Caenorhabditis elegans: one gene and its partner. The protein of the gene in region 2 purifies or fractionates together with the protein of the main gene of each other region. This does not show direct contact. Each region holds a gene or a part of one and is shown on either strand. Other genes may lie near its edges. The genes, in order: faxc-1 and spd-3.

Region 1 (4,700 bases), on a different chromosome or scaffold from region 2:
TAATTTAAATTATTTATTCAAATTACAAATGGAAAACCAAAAAATCACAATGAATTTGATTTTTTTGTTGCAAAATTAATAAAAAAAAGAATTTTTAGAAAAATTGACACGTGGTGCCAGGCTGTCCTATTACGGTTTGATCTACAAAAAATGCAGGAATTTTGTCCCAAAAAAATGTGACGTCAGCACGTTCTTAACCATGCGAAATCAGTTGAAAACTCTGCGTCTCTTCTCCCGCATTTTTTGTAGATCAACGGAGATCAAGCCGAAATGAGACACTCTGACACCACGTGTATTGAGACTTTTCTGTCATTTATTTCAAAAAAAAATTTGTAAAAAATCGAATTTTCTGAAAAAAATTAATAGAATCTTTTACATTTTCATAAAATGATTTTTAATTTTGCCAAAAAAAAAAATAAATTTTGAATTTTCCAGATCAACGTTTTTTCCGATTTTTTACGAAAAAAAAAAACAATTTTTCCTTCCAATTGACAAATTTCGGATATCCACCCAAATTCTACATCACATTTTCAGGCCGACGACCTGCTCAAACGATGGTGGTGCCGGAGAGTTTTCAGCTCGATCAGGAGATTCTTCTCGACGCCGGTGCTCAATTGCACCGGCTCAAGATGTATCCCTACTTTGATGTCGCGCATTATCTGTTGGTTAGTTTCATAATTTTCAAACTTTATTCAAATAATTCGGAATGATAGATTCTTTGGTGAACTTTGGTTTTTTTTTTTGGTAATTGGGATTAATAAAATCAAAAAAAAAAGTGATTATGCCTTCTTCCACACCGTTGCCATATTCATCGTATTCGTGGTCTCCTCCCAATCTGGCCAATACTTCTCCTTGATACGGATCACATATTCCATCACATTCGGAACCTTCTCGTCGATGTAGGCACGGATTTCCGGGCTGAATTGTGGTGTGTAGATGAGCTCGGCGAGATGAGCAAATGCGGTCACATCGATCTGGAATTTGAAGCTTAGTAATCTGTCCCATTACGGTTTGATCTACAAAAAGTGCGGGAATTTTTTGCCCAAAACTATGTGGTGTCGGCACGTTCTTAACGATACGAAAGCGTCTCTTCTCCCGCAGTTTTTTTGTAGATCTACGTAGATCAAACCACCTGGATGCTCGAGTTTACACCAGAAATCGGAAAAGTTTTCCGATCATCTCTAGGACACGGGATCCATTTTTAACGTCCATCCTTGAAATGAAGTACTCCGTTCTACTCAGGTGGTGTCAAAGTGTCTCATTTCGGCTTGATCTACATAGATCTACAAAAAATGCAGGAGAAGAGACGCAGAGTTCTCCACTGATTTCGCATGGTTAAGAACGTGCTGACGTCACATTTTTCTTTGGCGAAATATTCCCCCGCATTTTCCGTAGATCAAACCGTAATGGGACAGCCAGAACCTGCCAAGCCTAATCACTCACCGTCTTGATGCTGCTTCCGAAGAGATACGGCTTATCGCCCAACTGTGTCGAAATGGCGTCCAAGTCCTTCTTCGCCTGATCCAACACCTCCTCCCTGGAGAAAGTTCCCATTCCTTGAGCGGCAGCACGTCCGCGAACCTTTTTCGTGAAGCTTTTGACGATAAAGTTCTTGAATGCGAACCCCTTGATTCCGGTCAACAAACGTCCGAATCCGGTGTCAGTGGCTAGCCATCCAAAGTCCTGACCGCGAGAGTACAAGCTCACCCAGCACAGATGATGCTCGAGAAGTGCGAAGAATGCTCGCGCGATGGCCTTGTCGGAAGCGGAGAGATCCTCGAGATCCGACTTGTGGAAGTGCTCGGTCAGATTGTCGATGATGATGGTGCTGTCAGCGTGCTGGCGACCGTTCAGCTCGATGAATGGGATTTGACCGCGAGCCGACATCTTTTTGAACTCGTTGTTGATGTTCTGAAAGTTGATGGGTTTAACGCCGTCAGGAAGGCTAGGAGAGCTCAGCAAAAAAGCAATAGCTGATGCAAAAGCCGAATTTTTGAAATTTATTCAATTCTAAGTTGGATCTTAAATGGGTTTCTAAAGACCGAATTGACACTTGATCTACAAAAAATGCGGGAATTCCCCCCCCCCCCCCCCCAAAATGTGACGTCAGCACGTTTTTAACCATGCGAAATCAGTTGAGAAGTCTGCTGCGTCTCTTCTCCCGCAATTCTCGTGATCTACGTAGATCAAACCAAAATGGGACACTCTGTCACGTTAAATTGTCGATTTTTCCACGTAATATCAGAGTGTCTCATTTCGGCTTGATCTACGTAGATCTTCAAAAAATGCGGGAAAATGAAACGCAGAGTTCTTAACTGATTTCGCATGGTTAGGAACTTGCTGACGTCACATTTTATTAGGGCGAAAAATCCCCGCATTTTTGTAGATCAAACCGTGAATTTTCGACTTTTCTTGTTTTGCCCTCACTTACCGTGTACGGAATATCGGCGACACGCAAGAACGTCTCCACCTTGAACGCGTACGGAGACGGCGATGGAATGCATCCGGCTCTCGGAAACTGCACCAAGTACACGTGATCCTTCTCCCAGTCGCGTTTCGTCAAGTTGGTCGATGGCATCGTCACCTTGAATTAGAATCAAAATTGATCTGGACGATGTGAATGTGATTATTGACAGCGGAATGAGAGATGATAATGATGACAGATAGAGAGAGGAATTTGAAGCATTTTTCTGTATAGGAAGGAAGGAAGGATCAATAAAACACTCAATTTCGAGAGAAAATCAATTATCTCAATTTGGAAATGTTTCAATTTCCAAATCAAAATACGGTTGTCCCAGAGAAGTGAAAATTTCTAATTGAGCACGAAAATGTGGTGCAATGCTACGGTTTGATCTACAAAAAAAATGCGGGATTTTTTTGCCCTAATAAAATGTGACGTCAGCACGTTCTTAAAGGAGGACTAACGGTTCGGACGATTTTGAACGTATAGACCCAAAATGAGCTCAAATGAAATAATTTCGTAATGAAACTGCTCAAAAATTGTTCAAAATATTTTTTTTATGGCGGTTCAAAATTTCGAAAAATTCCACTGATTTTAGCTAAAATCTCGAATTTTGCCTATTTTTTGGTGTCACATCGGTCCGAAGTTGACTTTTTCGGAATTATCATCCTTTATTGCATATTTTAGTAGTTTATCTTATTTAATTTCGTTGATTAAAATACATTTAAAGCCGATAGGTAACCAAAAATCATCAAAATTGGTTACCTATCGGCTTTAAATGTACCTTAATCGACGAGATTAAATGAGATAAACTACCGAAATATGCAATAAAGGATGATAATTCCGAAAAAGTCAACTTCGGACCGATGTGACACCAAAAAATAGGCAAAATTCGAGATTTTAGCTAAAATCAGTGTAATTTTTTCAAAATTTTGAACCACCATAAAACATTTTTGAAAATTTTTGAGCAGTTTCATTACGAAATTCGTTCATTTGTGCTCATTTTGTGTATACGTTCAAAATCGTCCGAACCGTTAGTCCACCTTTAACCATGCGAAATCAGTTTCCGCATTTTTTTGTAGATCGACGTAGATCAAACCAAAATAGGACTCTCTGGTACCATGGAGATGGAAGAGTGAAAACTCGGCCACCACTTTTTTTTGCCGAAAAAAACTTGCCAATTGGTAAAGAAGAACTTTTTCCGAAAAAGTGAACAATCATCGAGAAGGAATTTTCAAACCTATCATAAAGGAGCATTGAAGAGAAGTTAAAAAAGCAAATTTTGGGGGAAAAAAAGTAATTTCCAAACCAATCATAACAATGAAGACAATAACGAAAGCGATTAGTCATGTTTGATTTGTAGGTGCACCCATAAAAGCGCCGGTTAGCTGCTGCAGCAGCAACAAGAGACAAAACAAAACGAAAAAGGAGTCAAGAGAGAGAGAGAGAGAAACTATATGACAGTTTAGGCGAACCTAACAAATATGACCTCCTCCTTCCCGCCACCGCCACCGCCTGAAGGTCGATCTGGTCGAGTGATAGCGGGTAACCTCTCTCCAACCGACTTGGCACATTGCCAAGGTTCTTGTGGGTGAATAGGCAAAGTGTAATGAGAGAGAGAAGGTGTATCGGTGTTCAGTGAATTGGAAGTTTGATGGATGGTACTGGGAAGGGGATTCCGGTTTACATTGGTGATCATGATGATTTATTCATTTATTGAAAAATTGGGGTTTCGGAATTGACAAGTTTTGAAAACAAAAAAAATTGGAACAAAGGAATTTTATTCGATTTTGCCGAGAATTTCACAGGAAGAAGCACGATTTTCCTACGAAACAGAACAACAACAATGAGCAATTTATTGATTTATTAGACTTGAAATTGTCTGAAAACACCCTGAATTTCATAATGACAATTCTTGGAAACTGCTCAAAAAAAGTTATGGCGGCTCAAAAATGACCTAATTAAATTTGAAATTTGACTGAAATTTGTCAGCGACTGGAAACTAACTTTTTTGAAATCACCGTCTAATTTTCGGTATTCAAGTTAATTATCTGGCGATTTCAACTCGATTTATGTAGGTACCTTTAAGGTAGTTTTACCAAATGTACCTAACCACGTAATGCCGGGATGTCATATTACGATTTGATCTACAAAAAATGCGGGAATTTTTTTTCCCAAAAATATGTTACGTCAGCACTTTCTTGACCATACGAAATCAGTTGAGAACTTTGCACATATT
Region 2 (5,068 bases):
GAAAATTCTCATGACATTTACAGTAACTTCCTACAAATCGTTTTCCAATGGAAGGATCTCAAGATTTTCAATCAATACAAGGGAAATGAGTTGATAGAACGCGAGATGACCGTTTCTACTCGTCGGAAAGTTCTTTTGCAAGAGACTCTGGACTGGTTCACAACGAAAGAACAACTCGGAGAACAGGATTCGTGGTACTGTCCTCAATGCAAGAAACACGAGCGAGCCACGAAGCAATTAGCTCTGTGGAAGCTTCCGGAGATTCTCATTCTCCACTTGAAACGTTTCCAATACACCAAGTGGTCTCGTGAGAAGCTGACATGGGAGGTTGTGATTCCTGTTCGTGGGTTGGATCTTACCGACAAAGTTGCCAATCCGAATCACGAGAAAGCGATCTACGACCTTATTGCCGTATCACGTCACTATGGATCCTTGAGTGGAGGTCATTACACTGCCATAGGCTACAACGACAGGGAACAGAAATGGTAGGTTTTTGAAAATGCACCTTCTTTTAGATAGTGAATCTAATTTTAAAACATTTTTATTTGACTCGACTTTCAGGTTTGATTTCAACGATTCCTCAGCAAATCCGACATATCCTCCAGCTGAACCCTATGAGTCGAGCGATCCCTACATTCTTGTATACCGAAGACGCAAATTGGATTCAAATGGAAAACCGATTGAGCCATCAGCAGTATCTGAATGTAGGTTCCAAAAATTCAAGTTTTTATTAAACTGTAATATTTTCAGCTCTTCATAGTCGACCGAAAAGAGGAGCTGCTCCAACAATTTCATCTGCAACATCATCAGCTTCATCGTCTCGCCATCAAGTTGACGAAAATATGGAGATGGAGGAAGATTGAAGGCGTCCTCCGACAAAAATGTCCAAGTTTTCGTTATGAAAAGTAAAATGTTTGAAAGATGTGCTTGTGCGTAGTTTCTGGTACAAATTTGAACATTTTTGTCGGGTAGGAAACGATTCTCCCAGTAACATCGCGGCGGTGTTCTTTCCTCGCTTCGCTCCATTTCAGTTTGAGCTTTATCCCCCATTTGCTCGAATTATTTTTCACCGCCAATCATTTTATTTTGTGTGTTTTTAGTGTCTTTCTCACATTCATTTTTTCATGTGTCTGAACCATTTTCTATGGAGTTCCATGGTTTCCCTTTTGCCCCCCGTTTTTCATATGCTTATTCGCTTCTGTGATTTCTCACTTTTAATTTACTCGAATGTTTTCATATTCGTCCAATCAAATTTATGGAGATATTTTCGCGTATTATTTGTGGTATCTTATTTTTTCTATCTCTTCCTCCAAATCTCTTCTAAAATCTTCTAACGATACGGTGTTTGTGTGTCTCTATAGGTTATTCTACTTTTAATTCGTTTCTGATGTCGTTTTACCCATCCTAGCCTTTCTTTTTTTAAAATCATTTTCAACGATTTAAGCCTATGTGCTTCCCATCTTAATTATTAATCAGTATGTTTCACACTGAACCATTTTTCTTTTTTTCTCGAAATCCCGTTTGAAAATGTCATGTTTAGTAGTTTCCTAATTCTATCAATTTTATCGGATTATGTGCTACGTTAATTTTTTTTCGTGGTATTTTTGTCTGTCTCTTCCGGTCCCTAAATATTTTTAATCCTGAGTTGTTTCCGTTTTTTGGAAACCATTTCAAATGATGAATTGCTTTCTTTCTGAAAATTGTTTAATTCATACAAACAGCATGAAATCGATCCATCGGAACACATTTTATCTTAAAGTCATCGTTTTCTTTCAATTAAAACTTCAAAAATAGATTTTCAGATAAAAACTTTATATGTCATTTTCGTCATGGCTTTCACGGCGGATTTTTGTTTTTCTCGATTCAGACCGAGTTTTCGAAGAGATGGATCAAATGACAGTCGAAGAAAAGATTTTAGAACATCAGGAACTTGAAGATGGTTCAAGTAGTTTCAGATGGTTAGTGTCATCGACAGTAATCGCAATTGGTGGGGCTACTGTAGCTTTGTATATATCTGGAAAAATTGATTGGAAAATACCAGCAATTGAAGCAGGTTAATGAGACGCTGATTATCAAATTAAAAATAAATGATTAATATTTAAGGACTTGCTCTGACTGCTGGTGGCACAATTACTTGCGGATATTTATGGTTTAAGAAGAGAGTGAAAACTGTTCGAAAACTTATTCTACAAATGAATAAAACAAGATCAGCTCTACGGAAAAGAAGACAAATTTTCTTTAGGTACTTATTATTACGAGAATACAAAATTCTGAGTATTTATATATGACCCGCAAAATATCTCGAAGCGAAAACTACAGTAATTCTTCAAATGACTACAGTAGCCATGGTGAAGATTTGCGTGCTCGATTTTTGAATAGAGACAGCGATATTCCATTTTCCTGCGTAAAATTGTATCATATTTTATTTTCTCAAATTTAATATTCTTCAGATAAATGAATAATTTTAAATCAATACGAAAATCGAGCCCGTAAATCGACACAAGCGCTACAGTAGTCATTTAAACAACTACTGTAGTTTTCGCTACTAGATATTTTGCGCGTCCTTTATACTGCGCAATACGCGTTCTCAGAATATTGTGTACCTGTAATAATAATTCGGATGAGAGTGTAAAAGTAATCATTTCATTTAAACAAATCAGAAGTTTTCCAGTATCTCAATGTGCATGCCACGTCATCGTCATCCATCGATTCTTCGTGCTTGTCGTCTTACAGTTTCAGCCATTGAATGTCTCACAGAAGAGACGAAATCACTGAATAATGGTACCACGTGGCAGGATTTATATACTGATGAGATTCGAGAAATCATTTCAAGGAGTACTGTAGATTCACAATTACTGAAAATTGAGGAAATTCAAGAAGGAGATAATGATAAAATGGATTTTGAACAAGTTTTTGAGGTATTTCAGATAATTTTTTAAAAAAGTTAAATTGCGTTTTTGGGTCTTGACACATTTAAATTTTTTAGTTACCATACAAATTATTACAAAAAAAATTTAATGCATTTAAAATCAAGACAGAATTCAGAGAAAAAGAAAATCGACCGTACTCGTGAGTGGCTGAAAAGTTTCAATCGTTTCAGACCCAAATACATGATTTCGCATTTAAGAAAAAATCACTTTCTCACTACCAGCTAGTGAGAAATTTTGAATTTGAATAAAAATTTCAGACATTGATATCGATATTCAAACTTCATGCAAGTGAATATTCCCGTGTTGTGATCCTCAATTTTCTGAATTCGCCCGTATTCGAGTCAAAAAAAGTTTCAAAATTTTTTGAAACTTTGGGACGTCTTCAAGAATTGATGTACAATTTGGAATCTGTTGAAAGACTTGCATTGAAGACTGAAACAAAACTTTCGAGAAATGAAAGAAAAATGGACGGAAAAATGAAAAATAAATCTTTATTAGAATTGGGATGGAAGCAACAAACTGCACTTGCACTAGAAGCTATTTTGGAAAGGTTGAAAAGGTTAAAATTGAAATATAAATTACTGTTTTTTTAGATTGGAATCTGAAAGTGTTACTCAATCAGAAGTTGAATCAGCATTACATAAAACTTTTCTTGTCGTCAAGGCTGAACCAGCATTTCCACAACCTGTGAAGAAAATTGATGTAGAGGTGAAAAATCAAGATCAAAAGAATCCAGAAGTGATCGTTATCGAGAAGGGCACAGGAGAAAGGACTGATATAGATATGGTAAATATTATTTTATTTTCCGTCAGGAAACTATTTGTTTCAGGTATTCGAAGGAACTCCCTTATCAGAAGCTGATAAACTATCTGCTTCAAAAAGTGCAGTAGCTCGAGATGTTCTCCTAGATGGATCTGAAGGACGTTGTCATGAAGCAAGTCTTTTTGGAGAGCTGAAAATGGTATTGGAGCCACGGAGGACAGATTTTGCGAAACGAGAAAGGACTGCACTGGCAAAGTTCTATGGAGTTGATGAGCATCAATTGGAGCAGAAGGAAGATGAAGAAGTATGTGCTGATATTAAGATTAAGAAGTTATGATGGATTTTACAGACATTTGAAGCGATAGCATCTGGTGATGGTGAAGATCCGGATCCATATGACTGGAGGAAGGATGCTGAAATGAGTGCAGGGATTCATCATGATGCTAATAATGACGACTTTCTGAAATCTTTGAAATTGAGACGAGTCGATGATGATATTATTGAATAATTTTTAATTGATTTTCAATTTATATAACACCGTATTTTATGTCGAATGCACAACGGGAAGCTCGTAGGCTAATAAACATTTTTTGTGATTCCTGACTTTTTTTATTTGACTTTCCAGCTTATGCATTTTGGCAGACACTGAAGATCAATCTATTGTGAGCTTTATATGAAAAATGTTGCTGTTTTGTGGAATATGAATGTTTTTGGAATTTAAAATTTTACGGTTTCAAGCTTTTGTTATAATAAGCACAGTAAAATTAGCAAATAGTTTCAGTCTCGCTTATAATTCTCTTTTTAATGATCTCGGCTCCACTGCTTACAAATTTGAGAAACTCTAGTCTTAAATTTATGTACATTTCTAGACACTGATATCAGTGATATTGTGTTTTTTTGCTACTGTTGAAAACTCTACAAATCTTCATTGATATTTGAAAATCAAAAATAAAGATTTACAAATGCAGAATGAAACAAAGGAAAAGTTTGTAAATTTCAGGTTAATGCGTTGTAAGACCCGGAAAAAAGGAAATTTCGATTGGAGCATTTGACATTTTTAATGTACAATAATAAACACCCCACTTGAAAACTGTGTCCTGTAGAAGTTTTGTGATTTATTTCCCAGTATATTTACCTGTTCTCTTCAAAATTTCGTCCGAAAAGAAAATGTCAAATCCTCAATAACTTGGTACTTTACTCAAAACTCTTGACCCTTTCATCTTTTCTTTTCCACTCATTTTCTTTGATTTCCATCCATCAGAAAAGAAATAAAAAAAGAGAGAACAAACAATGCGATTTGTTTGTGCCGAAAAAGAAATTGGAAGAAAAAAAAGAAGCAGAAGAATTTCTCCTTTTCCAATTTATTTTCCGACAAC

The links.
Region 1: the proteins of spd-3 (region 2) and faxc-1 purify together in Caenorhabditis elegans (affinity purification with mass spectrometry, with the first as the bait; one study listed by BioGRID). This does not show direct contact.

The regions. Positions count from the first base shown.
Region 1 is NC_003280.10:12,262,076-12,266,775, reverse strand, and holds faxc-1 (GST N-terminal domain-containing protein), read right to left. Parts: upstream 2,585-4,700; 5' UTR 2,579-2,584; coding exon 2,432-2,578; intron 1,912-2,431; coding exon 1,444-1,911; intron 975-1,443; coding exon 780-974; 3' UTR 671-779; downstream 1-670. Other genes in the region: tric-1B.1 (Trimeric intracellular cation channel type 1B.1), read left to right, coding at 555-665.
Region 2 is NC_003282.8:6,760,914-6,765,981, forward strand, and holds spd-3 (Spindle defective protein 3), read left to right. Parts: upstream 1-1,802; 5' UTR 1,803-1,884; coding exon 1,885-2,053; intron 2,054-2,103; coding exon 2,104-2,242; intron 2,243-2,671; coding exon 2,672-2,918; intron 2,919-3,187; coding exon 3,188-3,480; intron 3,481-3,523; coding exon 3,524-3,716; intron 3,717-3,759; coding exon 3,760-3,996; intron 3,997-4,041; coding exon 4,042-4,200; 3' UTR 4,201-4,287; downstream 4,288-5,068. Other genes in the region: usp-4 (Ubiquitin carboxyl-terminal hydrolase), read left to right, coding at 1-485, 562-704, 751-863. UniProt on the Caenorhabditis elegans protein: In the first mitotic division in embryos, required for mitotic spindle alignment and asymmetric cell division.